Linked DNA regions of Notamacropus eugenii. The protein of the gene in region 2 interacts with the protein of the main gene of each other region in a pairwise test. Links are inferred from orthologs where the notes say so. Each region holds a gene or a part of one and is shown on either strand. Other genes may lie near its edges.

Region 1 (7,619 bases), on a different chromosome or scaffold from region 2:
GTGTGGGTGGATTCCTGTCCTTGACTTTTACTTCTCCTTGTCTTAGACCCAGGCCCTGAATCCTTTACCTGCCAGGCCCAGCTCATACCCTGAGCCTCAAAGGCCATCTCCCCTCCTTTCTCTGCCTCCTCCTAGACACCATGTTGGGCTATTTTCTTGAACCCTGTCACAGGTGACCTTGTACCTTCCTTTTTTACAAAAATCTTGCTCTCTTATTCCCTTAGTAGTTAATAGCAGCAATTCACATTTATCCGGCATGCTCAAGCTTCCAAAATGCTTTATGTAAATCATCTCATTTAGGCACCATAGCCCTGTTTTATGGGTATGGGAGACCAAGGGCCTGAGAGTAACTTGCCTTTTGTCACGTAACTAGTAAGTGCATAGACTAGATTTGAACTCAGGTCTGCTGACTCCAGGTCTAGAATTCTAGAGGTAGCCCAAAGTGGCAGCTCATTTAATAAATCCGTTGTGGAATTGAACGAGATGCTGGAAGTGAAGGGAGCTTTATTTGGAAGCTCATGAACCTGGTTGAGTATTGGGGGCATCTCCCAGGCACCTTGGAATGGGAGACTAGAGTTAGAGGCAGAGCTCAAAGATGCCTAGGGTGGGTGGGTGGGGGCGGTGCCAGCGGAGCTCACTGGGCCTGGGATCTGACCTCCGGGGCTCTCTCTAGTCGCACAGACACCTGCCTTCGCCGACTCCTCTGAAGGTTCTCCTTGCCCCCCAGGACCCTGTCTGAGCAGACCCCCGCCCCAACCCCGCCTTGGGGAGGGCGGTGAGGCCCCTCGGCCCTGCCGCCACGTCCTAGAGAAAAAGACTCCTCACGGGGCGTTGTTTGCACTTGTATAGACTCTGTGGTTTATTTGGTGATTAGCAAGCAGTATCTCCGCTACTGAGTGGGAAGAAAGCTACGGAACGTAATCAAAATAGTGGTTTAATTGACAGATTTTACTTTTTCCTTGCACCCGTGCCTTCTTCTGCTCCCACCTGCCTACTTAGCTACGTGACAGAGACTACCCTGGGGGAGAGGGGCAAGACTTGCGGCCACCATTAGCCGTGAGCTTTCCCCACCTCAGATCCTTGTAGATGGTCTTTGTTCCTGGACGTCTCAGCTAGCCTGTCTTCAGGCCTGGTCTCCTCATTCTCGGGCACCACCAGCAGCCTGTGCTGGGTCTTGGCTCCTAGCTTGTGATCAGGTCTGTGTTCTGGCTTGCTGGTTGGCCTGGCGTCCAGCTGCTTATACTCAGCCCTGTATTTGCCCTCCCCTTCCCGCTTGAAGGAGGCCGAGGGCATGACTCTGGGTTTGGGGGGCTGCATCCAGGAGTGGCTGAGGATCTCGTCGATGTGCAGCCGCCGGTTGACGTCGGGCTGTAAGATGCGGTAGATGAGGTCTTTGCATTCACCCGTTAGGTTTTTGGAACGGGGGAAGTCCACGCGGTGCTCCTTCTGGATACGCAGCATCTTCTTGATGTCAGAGTCGTCGTATGGCATGGCGCCACAGACCATGATGTAGAGGATCACGCCCAGGCTCCAGATGTCATACACCTTGGGCTGGTAGGGGATGCCCTGGAGCACCTCGGGGGCTGCGTAGGCAGCCGACCCACAGAAGGTCTTGCTGAGGATGATTCTCCCACTGCCATCCCGTACACAGCGCTTGGAAAACCCAAAGTCAGACAGCTTGATGTTGAAGTCTTTGTCCAGGAGGAGGTTCTCGCACTTGAGGTCGCGGTGGACGACGTCCAGGTCATGGCAGTACTTGACGGCCGAGGAGAGCTGGCGGAACATCTTGCGAGCCACATCTTCATGCAGGGCTCCCCGGCATTTAATGAACTCCAGGAGGTCTCCTTGAACCCCAAGCTCCATGACAATGTAGATCCTCCCATCGGATGTCTCAAAGATCTCATAGGTCTTGATGATGGAGCGATGGTTGACCGTAGCTAAGATGTCCATCTCCCGGGGCAGAAATCGCTCCACAAAGTCAGTGGGTGTTTTCTTGCGGTCGATGATCTTGACCGCCACATTGAATTTCAGGCGCTCAGAGTAAGCGGATTTCACTTTAGCATAAGAGCCTTTCCCTAAATTGATCCCAACGATGTAACCCTTCTTCCTTAGGACTGTGGCATCGTCCATGGTGCCAGAAGCAACCGATGCCTCTGACGCTGTTATCTACATCCCCTCCCCACATGGACCAACAGTGTCCTCATTTACACTGCGGGAGAGTCCTCTGAGCAGGCTGGGTCTGGAGTTTGTGGGAGGTAGAACGCTCAGCATTGTCTCCCGAGTGACTTCAGCGTGTGAAGTCACAAAGCGAAGCTGCCAAGAGTGGGGGACTGTGCCGGGGGGAATGGGGCTTTCGCCCCGAGGCTTTGGGGCACCTGGAACCCTGGAAGGCTATCAGCAAGGAGCAGCCCCCTCCCCCACCCCAGGATGCTGGTAACATCTCCTCTTTTTTCTCTTAGCCCAGGTGTGCCTGGGCAGCTCGTCCATCAGAATGGATTCTTTCCTGGAGTTCTACCCATCAGGAAAGTCAGCTTGTGGTCTGGACAGAATGACAGACAGGATGCCTGACATCTGCCTTGCTGGCATGGTGGGCCTGGGCGTGTGGCCTTGTCCCACTCAAGGTGAATTAATTTGATTTCTTTGGAATGTGAAAACATCTTCCTCTGGGCTCTAAACATGCAAAGCATTAGTTTCATCCCTCCATGAAGACACACAGACCCTGACTTTGGCTGGAAAGATAGTTACTGGACTTAGCTACATGTGTTGTTACAATCTCTGCGGAAGATTGGGAACAGTTGTTTTCCCTGGCCAGATGTTAGGGGAGAAATGGAGTTTGGGGCCTGGGGTTAGGTGAAGGGGCTTCAGATGCAAGTGGAAAGGAGGGGGGGCAGGAGAGCAATGAATGTAGTGCAAGGATTTGGAGCAGGCCTGGGGACCAGGGCAACCCCTAGATGAGGCCCTCAGGTCACAGACCTCTTGTCCTGGTCTTTGGAAGAGTGTGTGTGTGTGTGTGTGTGTGTGTGTGTGTGTGTGTGTGTGTGTGTGTGTGTGTGTGTGTGTCTGTGTCTGTGTGTGTGTGTGTCTGTGTGTGTGTGTCTGTGTGTGTGTCTGTGTGTGTGTGTACATGTGTGTGTGTGCGTGTGTGTGTCTGTCTGTGTCTGTGTGTGTGTGTGTCTGTGTGTGTGTGTCTGTGTGTGTGTGTGTGTCTGTGTGTGTGTCTGTGTGTGTGTGTGTGTGTGTGTGTGTGTATACACACATTTTGGATAGTGTTGCTATCAAAGTACTGTGAAGAACTAAAGTGTTACGTTTCTTTTCTCCAGGATGGGGACCCTCTTCCTCAGCGGGACAGGTGGAGGCCATAAATCCATCCTTTCCCTAGCCTGGCCTTCTTCCTATCCTTGGTAGAGCCTGCACTTGTGAGTTGCAGCACATACTTCCCCAAGGAAACACCAGGAGGAAGTGGGAGTTAATCTGGTCCTGGGAGAATGGGATGATGGGAATAGGAGAGAGAGGTGAATACTCTCCATGAGAGTACAGCATGAGCAAAGGCATGGGGAAGGGAATACACATGGTCATGTTTGGGGATTCGGGATGGTCTGGCTGAAGTATAGGGTGTAAAAGAGGAGTTTTCTGGGCAATGGACTGTTGAATTTTTATCTTCTTATCCCCAGCACCTAGCCTGTTGTCTGGCAAACAGTAGGTACTTAATCATTGCTTGTTGACTCCTTAAGAGAAGGTGGAAGATGGGGAGTTTGGGCTTCATCTAGTCAATGAGGATGACAGGTGCGTGACCAAGGGAGGGACGGATGGAATGGAGGAGATTCCAGTTAAAGGGAGGTGAGGAAGGTGGCCCTGGATCAGGATTCTTAGAATAGCTCCCATTGCTAGAAGGCTGCAGTACATACAAAGTGGGGCTTTCCAACAAGCCTTGGAGGGAGGTAGTGCAAAGATGGCTTACGAGGACTCCAAGAATCTGTGGTCAGTTCTCACACAGGAGCTCACTGCAGTGACCCCGAGACAGGCTCTGTCCACACCCTAGAGGAGGATTGACTGAGCAGCTGGATCCAGGCCTCTGCTGACAATACTCTCCAGCCTTGGCTGGCCTGGTCTTTGAATGGAAGGGATGCCATTTAACACAGGCCCTACACTCAGAGTCTTGCTAGATTAGTTGATTCTCTCCTTGCATGGCTTTTGAGAGCTCAAGGTTACCGTTATGTGGTAGGGGACTGGAAGACCACCCTCTGCAAGCCTGCTCTGTACTGGCAGTCAGGACATGTCTAAGGACATTATTCCTGGTTATCTTTTGGTCCTTTTACTAGTGCTGATTGGCAGCTCACTTAACACTTCCACCCTTAGAGAGGGGCTCAGGGGCACTGAGATGTTAAGTGACTTGCCTGGGTCAGACAGCCAGTAGGTGCCAGAGGCAAGATTGAATGTAGATCCTTCTGACTTCAAACCCCATGCTGCTTCTTCAAGGCTGATGTCTCTCTACCTTTTATGTCCCTGTAATTATTTGTACTAATTTCTAATGGGGAAGCCATCCTGGTCAGAGAACTGGATAATAATTGAGTTGAGGAAGCTTCTGCATATCTGGGAGAAGAAGGACTGAGTGATGATGGGCAGAGAGGACTGTAGAGGTCATAATCTGGTTGGAGAGTTGGCATTTGGAGAATTGGGATGGGAACAGTAGTGTGTGCACAGGGACAGAGGTTTGGTGGTTAAGTGGGCTGATTGGAGCCCCACAGAAGGAGCTGTGCTGGGATGTCTATGGACTCTGCAGTTCTCAGCCCTTTGAGCTATGAGCTATAATTCCTACAGCCTAGGGATTAGAAGGATTGGGGCCAAGATTAAGGGTGGAAGTGGAGGGGAGCTAATGACAGTGGCTATGGAAGAGAAGTGTCTGTTATGCTAAGGATGGCCTGGTGTGAATGTCCTGTTGGGTCCAGGTCCTGGGATAAGGTGTACCTTACTGGAGTTTCATGAGTATCAGTTTTCAGGAAGGGTAGAGAGAGACAGTTGGGCTCAGCCCTCCAGGAAGATCAGCTAGAAGATAAGATACCCAAAGATCTAGGGGTTTCAGTGAACAACAAGTTCCACCTGAGTTTGTCTCCCAACAAAAGAGCTAGTGCAGTCTTTTCTTATATTAAGAGAAAAGCAGGAGGTGACTGTCCCACTGCCCTTGGCAGATTCCATCTGAAATATTGTGCTCAGCCTTGGTTAGACGCCACATTCAAGGAAAGACATGGACTCACTGGGGTATACGGCCAGGAGACCGTGCCATCTGAAGATAGCTGGAAGGAGTGAGGGTTATTTAGCCAGATAAGAAGGAGCCATAGGAAATGAGATGGTAGCCGTCATATGGAGGAGAATTTAGATTGGTTCTGTTTGGCAGTAGGGAACTGGACCAGGAGTATGGAGAACTTTAAGCTTTAAGATGTTCAGTCAGAGGCTAGATGACCAGTAGGAAATGTTGGGAGCATTCCTTTTTAAGGATGGCTTGAACTTGATGGTCCCTGAGGGCCCCTGACCTATGGAACAGTACATTTGGAATGAACCCCATACACCCCTGAATCTAGCTCCTTCCTCATTTTACAGAGGAGTAGACTGTGCCCAAGGAAGGGGAAGAGACATTGCCAAGCTTATGCATCAAGCTGGTGGCAAAATGAGGCCTCATGGTCTCTGTACTTAACATTGGGCCATACTGCCTCTCAGATGAGCCCTTTGTCAGTAGGTAGGAAGGTCATGTTCTGAGGAATGATGCAGGGTGCCGGGCTCCCTTCTGAAACAGAAGGCGGAACTACAGATTTCTTAGCACTGGGAAGGATCTTTGTGGGTGAGTTCTTGCAATATCCCAGACGAGTGGTCACCTAGCTTGTGTGAGAGGAAGCCCACTCACCAACTTGTTGAGCGGCTCACTCCACTTTGGGATAGTGCTTCCTCTTCGGGAGTTTTTCCTAATGTCCAACCTGAACTTGTCTCCACAACTGAGATTGGTTACTCTGGGTTTTCCCCTCTGGACCCCACAGAACAAGGCTAATAATGTCTTTGGCCATTGATAATCCTTTAAAAGCTTAAAAGCACAAGGTGTGGACCCTGAGATCCTGGACCATGTTTGACTGGGTTAGAGACACTTCTAGGAACCTGGTGCTCTTGGAGCTTTAGCTGTCTCTAAGGGCCTTGGGATCCCCTAGGAGTAAGAGGGTGGGTTTGGCTTTTCTCCAGCCCTGTTAGGACTTTTTGAACTCTTGGAACACAGAAATGAGAAGAGTGGATGCATTTAGGGTTAGGCTTAGGAGAGCTAGCCTCTTCTCGCTTCTCCAGGGTCTAGGATCAAAGGGAGCGTTTCATTTAAGTGCTTACTACAAAGGCAAAAGCAGCAATCCTTACCCTCCAAGATCTTAACGTTTTATTGAGGCAACCAATATATAAGCACAAATAAAGTGTGTTCAGACTGGGTCTATAAATACAGGATAATGTGGGAGGGGAGGACCGTAGTAGCTAGGGAAGAATTGAGAAAGGTGGTCTCATGAACTTTCAAGGAAAGGAAACTGCCTTGTCAGAGGTAGAGGTGAGCAGGCATTGAGACAAAGAGACTAAAAGGAGGCTTTTTAGAGGGGTCCAGGTGAGGTGATGAACAGTTAAAGTGAAAGTAATGGCTGCGTGACTGGAGAAGGGGGGACAGGGGCAGGAGAGTAGAAAATGTCCACCAGGCAGTTGGCCATGGGGCTGGCTCTGAGGAGTTGTCTAGCTTTTAGGAGAATTGGAACTGATGAGGTCAGTGTGAGACAATGTAGAGAGAAAAGAGGGCCCGGGACAGAGTGTTGGGCGACCCCTGAAGAGAATGGGTTATGGATGATAATCCAGCAAAGGAGACTGAGAAGGGGCTGTCAGATGGGTTGAGAGCCAGGAGAGAGGAGCTGTATCCAGGAGGAGCAGGCAGTCACTTGACCTTTCTTAGAGGCTCAAGGATAAAGACGGAGAAGAAGTCAGCAGATTGGACAATTGGGAGGTTATGGGTCATATTGAAGAGAGCAGTTTCAGTTGAGTGGTCAAGTTGGAAGCTAGTTTGCAAAGGGTGGAAAACTGAGTGTGTGGAGACAGCTTTTCCAAGAGGTTAGGAAAGTGAAGAAGATAGAAGGTGCCCACTTGCAGGGGTGCTGGGAGCAAGGGACAAAACCTTTTTTTAAGGGTATGTAGCAGGGAAGGCACCAGAAGACAGGAAGAGAGATCTAAGATTGGGGAAAGAGAGGGCAGGATAGTGCAGGCGACTCCTGAAAAAAACAGGAAGGGATGTGATCCGGGGCATATGCAGGGGGTTTGGCTTTGCTGAGAAGGGGTCCACTTAATCAGACACTGGAGTAGAGGGAATGCGAATGGGAGATAATGTCCAGGAGGTCTGAGATGAGGGAGGGAGTTCATGGCAGATTTCCTCAGTTTTCACAGTGAAATAGGAAGGGTCCCCAGTGGAGGAGATAAGAGAAGTCTTGGAACAGTTTCCATGGGGAGGGGGGATTGTCAGTCCCTTAGGAAGGGAATAAAATAATTGCTTTGCATTAATGAAGGCCCATTTGGGATTGAGAAACACTGATCAACCTTTTCCTTTTTCCTGGCCACAAGTT
Region 2 (8,203 bases):
GTCACTGGGACATGGGCTGGGGGTGCAGGAGGGAGGCCGGCTCACTGGGAGGTGCTTCTGCCTAGCTGACTTCCCGCCCACCAGACTCGGAGGCTCTGTGGCTGGCCCAGCGCCCTCCCCGGGACCCAGGCATCCCTCACCTCCAGCAGGGCCGAGTTCTGCTTCAGGACGTTTGTCTTTATCTCAGCGTCTTCCACTGAGCGGGTCACCTTCCGACAATTCTCCTGGGACCGGACATCTAGGGCTGGGGGTGGGGGCTAGGGGAGGAAGCCCTCCCCCAGGATGCAGGGGCTCCCCTTGGACCCAGCCCCCAGCTAGCCCCCATCCCTGCTTTAACGGGAGTACCCTATCCACAGGCCTCCCCTAAACCAGCCACGCCCCCTTTCCTAACCACGCCCACTCCACGCCCTGCCTCAAGCTAAGCCCCGCTCCACCCCAGGGTTCTTGGATTCGGTTGGCCGCTCCCCCTCCCTTAGCCCCGCCTCACCAGCCCCGGGGCGCTCACTGGCACCTCTTTGACAGCCTGCTCACCTTCAGCTGGCTGCAATATCCCTCCAGCTCCTCCGCCTCCTGCCTCCTTCGTTCCAGGTTCTCGCTCAGCACCGAGCACTCACTCTATGGAGAGCAAAGGCCCAAAGCCGGGAGAAGAGTTGGGGGGCGGTGGCAGGTGTGTGGGGGCCTGGTGGCCCGCGCAGCCTCGAGACCCAGAGAGAGGCAGGGATTGTCTGGGGTCGAGGGTGTGTGTGATGGTTCCACAGGCTGGGCAGGGTGTCCAGGGCAAGGGCCCCCCAACTCCCGCCAACCCAGGATTCACATGTGGGTGTGGGGCAAGATCTAGGAAGGGGAGGGGGTGATTCCAGGCAGCGGCTAGTGGGACCTGAAGCGACTGGACGTGCTGGTTGACCCGGGTAGTCTTCTCCTTGAGGCTGGTGATGGAGTCCTTGGCCCTCAGCAAGCCGCTGTTCACCCCGTTCTGTAGGACACGGAGGAACTCAGGGTAACAGTACCCCGGATTTAGCTGCTTGTGTTCCCCAGCCCTGGAGCCAGGCAAGTGCTTTCTCATGTCTAGCAGTGGGGAAGGGGAGAGCAAGCTTTTTGGAGATTCATGGATTTGGGCTTCCCACATGGGCTCTAAGGGCTCTCTGCCATGTCACATCCTAATGCCTGAAACTGGGCCAACGGAGGGTTACTGTCAGTCTCTTCCCACTCATGCGTCTGTCTAAACAAAGGCAGGCAGTCCACTTACCAGAGGTAGGGGCCATAATGTAGTAGAGGATGGAGGGGTTGCGGCTGAGGCTCCCCACTCCCAGCTACCAAAGTGAATTTCCTAAAACAACTCACGGAGCTGTTCAATTAATTACATCTAGCATCAAGGCTGACCTCTTGTGTTGGGCATGAAGGCCCTTCAGCCTAAGAGAAACTCTCTTTATGTCTTCTTGGGCCAGCCACCTTGACTTTGCTCAGCCTGTCCCACTCCTGGGGTGCAGGCTCTCCTCCCAATGACCTCTTAGAATTCCTACTTCCCATCAAGACCAAGGTCAGTCTCTGCCTTCCAAGTCAGGCCTTTCCTGATCCTCCCAGAGTTCCTAAGGGCCAGAACTGTCTGACCTTTGACGGCTTATGGCTCAACAGATAGAGCCGACCTGGGCCTGGAGTCAGGAAGATCTGAGTTCAAATCCAGCCTCAGCTGCTTAGTAGGTGTGTGAACCTGAGCAAATCACTTAACTTCTGCCTGCCTCAGTTTCCTCAGCTGTAAAAGGGAGATAATAACAGCACCTCCCTCCCACGGTCGTCATGCAGATCAAGTGAGATGATAACTGTAAAGCCTTTAGTACTGTTTGGTATAATAGCAGGCATCAGACAATTCTTAAATCCCTTCCCTTTTATCTTCCAGTCCCCTTGGCACATAGTAGGTGTTTAATAAATGCTTGGTGACTGATTAATCGGTTGGCTCCCTGAGTTTCAAGATGGGAACTGAAATTTGGCACTTACAGCCTTGAGCCCAGAAGCCAGAACCTCGAGTTCAGATGCATTCTAACACCCAACCCAGAAGCCAAAGGCCCAATTCCTGGCTCCCATCTGTTCTCCAGTACCTCTGTGCCTCTCTCCTTCTGAGTCTCCCTCAGTTTCCACATCCAGACGGGAGGGGTAGGTAGGCTGTTAGCTTCCATTCTGTCTTTCTGACTTTGGGCCAGGGAGTGTGGAAGCCTGGGGCATCCTCCAAAGTGGATTTTAAACCCACTCGCAGATTGAATCTGAAGGCACATTCCATGCCTAGAAACCTCCTAGAACCCCACATTTCCCAGCCCTGTCCTCTCTGGCGGGAAGCCACTGACAGGAACCCAGCCCAGAAGCCTGACCTGTCTTGGAGACCCCAGATATGAGTCCTGGACCCTGAAGCCTCAGGTCTAAAAAGAGAGACAGTGTGAGCTCTCTCAGTGAAATATCACTGGTCACTCAACCCCCAGCCTGGAGCCTTGGGTCTAAATGAGAATCAGGTCTTGAAAACCTCTTCTGGGAATGTGAACCTTTGTCTGAGCAAGGACCACAGCGACTGGTAGCTAGAACTGAAGGCCGGGACTTGGGGGGCAGGGGCGGTACCGGACGCAAGCCCTCTGGGAAGGGGTCTTACCAACAGGTCAGCGATGTCAGGGTCATCAGGGGCCCAGGCTGGGGCCGAAGCTGGCAGACTCAGGGTGGGGGGTGAGGAGGTCCCAGAGGCAGGAAGAGCTGGGAGCTCATCTGGGGTGGGCTCAGTCCCGGGGTCAGGAGGCTCCACAGCTGCCAGGTTGAGGAGGGAGACATTGGTGCAGGCTGAGGAGCGCTTCAGATTCAGGCACCACTGCATTGGCTCATGGGACATCCGGGGCTCCACCCTGGAGGAGGTACTTGATCAGCACCCCTGACACCCTGGGAGCCCTGGCTTCCTCCCTTTCCCTCTCTCCCAACCTCAAAATTTGCCCTAGGACTCTGTCCCAAACAAGTCAGTTTCCCTAGCACCCTTGGGAGCCTGAGTTCCCTCTCTCCCAACCCCCTCATTCCTCCAACAAGCCCCAGGGCTTTACCCTGTAAGAGATAGTGCGGTCAACTCCCTAGAGACACCTGAGAACTCCAGTTCCCTCTTCTCCCCCCAGTCAGCAAGCCCCAGGCCCCCACTGACCCATGGAAAGACACAGCCTTCTTTTTCTTGGTGATCCCCTTTCCAGGGCCAGATCCAGCCCCAGGGACCTCAGGCCCCAGTGGGGTCCGGTTCTCAGCCCCTGCTGGGGGATCTCCGGCTTCATGGATCTCCTTGGATTGCCAGATCGTCTTAACCACCACACTCGCCATGGTGTGAGTGGTGGGGGCGGGGCCCGGCCCAGGTCCCGGGGAGGGGGGTGGGGGTCCACCGAGACCCACCACCCACTCTGACCCCTGACCCCAGCCCCCGCCAGCCTGTCTCACAAAGGGCCCAACCACCTGGAGACACCTCCTTGGGGGTGGAAGGACTCTAGAATCTATGAATCCAGCCTCTCCTCCTTTCCTAGAACTATAGTGGACTGTCCCAGGGCTTAAACTAGAACCTTCCAAGGTCAGGCCATGGAACCTAGGAGTCCTTTTCCCCCACCTCTGCAACCCAGAGTGGAAGTTCCCAAACAACATTCCCAGAACAGTTCAATGAGCCAGCTCATCGATCCACAGGACATGACATCCACCTCCATCTATAATTCATAGAGAACTTGATTCCTGAAACTCTCCAATGGAAGACCTTGATGAATTTATGGAGTGAATTCAGGGGAAGATTTCACAGAGTAAGTAGCTTTAAGAGTTGGAAAATAAGTATAAGTTCAAACTGAACACAAAATCCTAGTTTTTCCTAAGGAGGAAACCAAGGCACAGAGAGGGAAAGGGCCCAATGCCTCTCCCTAGAATTTGGAATGGACTTGTCAACTATTTTACCAAAGTTTTGGTCCAAAGAAACAAACAGAATCAGTTTCCCCTTAACCGAAGCTTTGCCCTAGAACAAACAGAATAGGGTCCCCCTTAACCAACTGTACATGTGTTATAATATGCGAATTTATTCTCATCAAGCCAGAGAGTCATGCATGATGGAGTCAGAAAATAATTCTGGACTCAGAGGACACAGCAATCCCAACTCAGGAGACCTGTGTCGGTCAAAATTGTAGCCTCCACATGTGTTAACCATAATGTGAGACAGGAATTTCTTAATTGGATAGATTGCATATACCATAAGAGAATGACAAGGTATCAATTGAAATTATAGATTCGGGAGGTCTGTGTTTCTTTTACCGTTAACATGGCATACTATAACATAAGAAAAGTGCCATTATTTAAGATAGTGTCTGGTTCAAGGTGCCTTGTCCTTGGCAGTCATAAACAGAAGAATGCACCTGGTCAGCTTCATCTGGCCTTGTAGATGCTGACACAAGAAGGGGCATTTTGGGTTCATTCAGAGAATGTTATGCCAGAGCACAGTCAGGCTCAGAGTGGGCTAAAAATGTCTTTCTCCTGATTGGCCAATCAAATGATGGGGGCAAAATGGTTTACAGACTTTTTCAGGCCTTGTTCCTAGAACCCTCATAGGGGCAAATCCACTGATTCCATTGGTGGGGAGGAGGATCTTAATATAAACCTTTCCTCGTACACAGAGGAGAAGCTAAAATCTCTCCCTACAATTCAGAATGGGCCTTCCCAGTCTTCCATCCTAGAACATAATCATGGATTGATTTGTTAATCCCCTACTGGGGAAACTGAGTGAATATTTGCCATCCCACCCAACAATGGACCAGTCCATGGACTTTATGGGGGAGGGGGAGAGAAGAAACCATAGAATTAAATTCAGTAAAATAAAAATTCAATAAAAATCATTTAAATGTTTACTGAATTCATGATCCAGTGCTTGGTACAGTGCCTCCAATCAATCAAGGACATATAACCTGTGTGCAGATAAATGTCATTTGGGGTTGAAATTACTGTTATTTTAGTTCTGATACTGTAACTAGGCAAGGGTACTTTCTGTTTGAATTGGACAATCAGTTCTGAGGGTGAACAGGACCTGTATACCTCATTGACTTAAAGCCATTGTGAGAGATCTCAGAACTGGATTCCGAAGAGATTTTGAAGGTCTGGATTTGAGAGACTGGAGCCAGCATGGCATTCTAGCACACTCTTGAGGGAAAAAAGGAGGGCTTAGCTATGGTAGGTATAGATCCAGGATATGCTGATGAGAGTCATTGGCTCTACAGATATCTTGGAACGATGGACCTAGGCTGAAGAGGTTGGCTCTTTTCCTCAACCTTCTGCTCCCAACACCTGTCTATCCACAGACAACATTATATAATCTGTTCTTGCATTACTCAAGTGTTTCCCACCAACTGAATTTTGCCTCACCCACAAAGAGGCTAGCGTGTAACTAGAGACAGAGGCAGAGACCTGTCCCTCTGCCTAGGTGTCAGGAAGTTTCTTAACTCTAGGCTTATAGTGACTATGACTGAACTCAGAACTTTTCATCCAAAGTAAATTCCTTAAAGCCCAAGAAGAGTGAACCAAGTAGATCTTAAGGGACCCTTAGACTTACTATATTAACACCCTCTACTCCAAATGAATTAATTATAATAACTTGTTATGGAAATAAATACAAGTTAGGTAGTGAAAGGGGCAAAGGAGAGATAGGAGGGAGAAAACTTTCACTTGGGTGGATCAGGAAAGGTTTCATGTTAGTACCTGAATGAAGCCAAGGAGACAAGGAATTCTAAAGGTGAGGATGAAAAGTGAGTCTGTCCCAGGCGTGGGGGAGAACTAGAAAGAGATGGACACAGGAGATGGATTGTAAAGGAGGCCAGTTTCAATGGAACGTAGTGGGGCTCTTGAGGGCACTATGTTACCATATTAATTATCCATTGAGGGAATACAGTATCTGTTTGAGCCATCAGCCCAGTGGTATTGTCAGGCCAGGATGGCCTCAAGCTGAAAAGGCTCAAGTTTCCCTTCTTGCAGACCTAAGAACACACAGACTTCAAATTTCGAGACTTCTTCCCCAGCTCCAAGCCTATGTACCATAGGCTAAGTGGTTTGGGTTAGCACTTATTGGCTGGGTTTGAAATTAATTTAGGAGACGAAATAGAATATCATTCAAAATGTAAAATTTTCTATCTATGCATGTGTAGCTCTTGAATCATTCATTACCCCATCGGATCTCTCCTGAATTCACCTATTCAGAAACTTGGCATGCAGTGATCACATAGTTTAGTATGTTGGTGGTGATGGTGGTCAGTTGTTTCTGTCGTGTCTAACTCTTTGTGATCCCATTTGGGGTTTTCTTGGCAAAGATTCTGGAGTGGTTTGCCATTTCCTTCTCCTCCTCATTTTACAGATTAGGAAACCGAGGCAAACAGGATTAAGTGACTTGCCCAGGGTCACACAGCTAGTAAGTGTCTGAGGCCACATTTGAATTCAGGAAGACGAGTCTTCCTGGTTTCAGGCCTGGCACGTTATCCACTGCACCACTTAGCTACCCATAGTTTATTATACATTATTAAGCATCTATCATGTGCCAGTCACTGTGCTAAGTGCTGGAAGGTGTATAGACAGACTGCCTTGGTAGTTAAGCATCCATCCCCAGCAATCTTTTAAACCTGCTTCCAGTTGCCTTTTAGGATCCTTGAATGTGGCAAGAAGGAGATGTCCAGCAATGTGCTGGAAAAGTTTATGGAAAGGTTTCAAGGGTAGAAGCATCAGCACCCTTTCTCAAAATCATTGACCAGAAACTAAGGAGATTGGAGAGCACCATGAGGGGAACCAGTCATTCCCTTTCCTGCCCGGTTCCTGACTGCCCCCTCTACTACTGAAGTGGACATTATTTCTCCTCCCCCCGCCAGAGCCCCTGGGTTGAGAAATGTCCGTTGAGTTTCTAGGCAGGGTTGGGCCTAGTAGCCACTTTCTGTTAGTGGCTACACTCTCTGTTGTACCCCTTTGCCTAGCAGCTGCCTGGGCCCCCGCTCTCTTTTGTACCCCTTTGCCTTGCAGCTGCCTGGGCCCCCCTCTCTGTTGTACCCCTTTGCCTTGCAGCTGCCTGGGCCCCCCTCTCTGTTGTGCCCCCTTGCCTACCAATACCCAGGAGCCCCTGTCAAAACTGTTCTGTGAAAAATGTGTGCTATTGGAACCGCAAGGCTATACCGGGAAGTGCTAAGATGCTTAAAAGGCACACACACCTTTGTTCGGGGCTGCCTCTTCGGAGGACAGACACCAGCTGATAAAGACGCTCCCAAATTCTCAATTAACTCTTGCCTGTGCCTGTCTCAGTCTGTCCGTTTCACTACTGGCTCATTTTAGAGCCTGGAATAATCTGCCACCCCCATGACCCTCACTATGGACTGCTCTTCTGCAAAGTCCCAGCCAAACTGTTCAGTGGGAAAGACTTCCTGGACTTTCGACGTCTCAGTTCCCTTTGCCGTGTTGTCTTCCTCTATGAAGTCAGGGACTCCTTTTCACTTGTATTTGTACCCTCACTGCTTAATCTGGTGCATGCTTCATAAATGCTTCTTTCCATCCATTCTCCCTTTCCTTCATCCTTAGGAAGCCCAGTGGGATTTACAACAGGTGGAAGCCTTAGCAGCTTTCAACATTTTGTCTGAGAGCTGGTGTTTTAAAGTGGATGACAAGCTCAGGGCTGGTCACTGGTGTGATATGTGGATGTGCAGTGGATGACCATGGTGTCTTTGATGCCTGAGGAAGCTCATCCAACCAAGTTCAATGAGACATGTCTCTGGGCAGGAGAGTCTTGGCCTGGGAGACTGATTGACAGTCACATATACATTATAAAGGCAGGATCTGAGGTAAAAAGTACTGAGGTAAAGAGTCTTCTGGCCTAGACTGGGCTACATGAGGGCTTTTGTTTAGCCCTTCCCTTTCTTTTCTTTTCATTTGCATATGGGACCAAAAGATTTTAGAAGACTGAAGAAAAAAACCTTGGAGTCTGGGACCACAGAGCTGTTGTAGAATTTCATTATCCACAAAAAAAGTGGTCGTCACAATTTCACTATAAGTGCTTAAGCGAGAATTACAAGAAATCTCTAGTTGAAGAGTTCTTTGGAAGGATAAATATGATATTCCCCAATTGATAAATGGTCAAAGGATATGAACAGGCAATTTTCAGAAGAAGAAATTAAAGATATCTATAATCATATGAAAAAATGCTCTAAAT

The links.
Region 1: the proteins of TSKS (region 2) and TSSK2 interact in binary tests that used the Homo sapiens proteins (3 or more experiments, as listed by UniProt). The link is inferred for Notamacropus eugenii from reciprocal best matches to the Homo sapiens genes TSKS and TSSK2.

Annotation. Positions count from the first base shown.
Region 1 is NC_092875.1:12,363,660-12,371,278, forward strand, and holds TSSK2 (testis-specific serine/threonine-protein kinase 2), read right to left. Parts: upstream 2,448-7,619; 5' UTR 2,131-2,447; coding exon 1,051-2,130; 3' UTR 919-1,050; downstream 1-918.
Region 2 is NC_092876.1:12,140,995-12,149,197, reverse strand, and holds the start of TSKS (testis-specific serine kinase substrate), read right to left. Parts: upstream 3,404-8,203; 5' UTR 3,331-3,403; coding exon 3,161-3,330; intron 2,877-3,160; coding exon 2,633-2,876; intron 974-2,632; coding exon 878-973; intron 616-877; coding exon 532-615; intron 225-531; coding exon 141-224; intron 1-140. UniProt on the Homo sapiens protein: May play a role in testicular physiology, most probably in the process of spermatogenesis or spermatid development.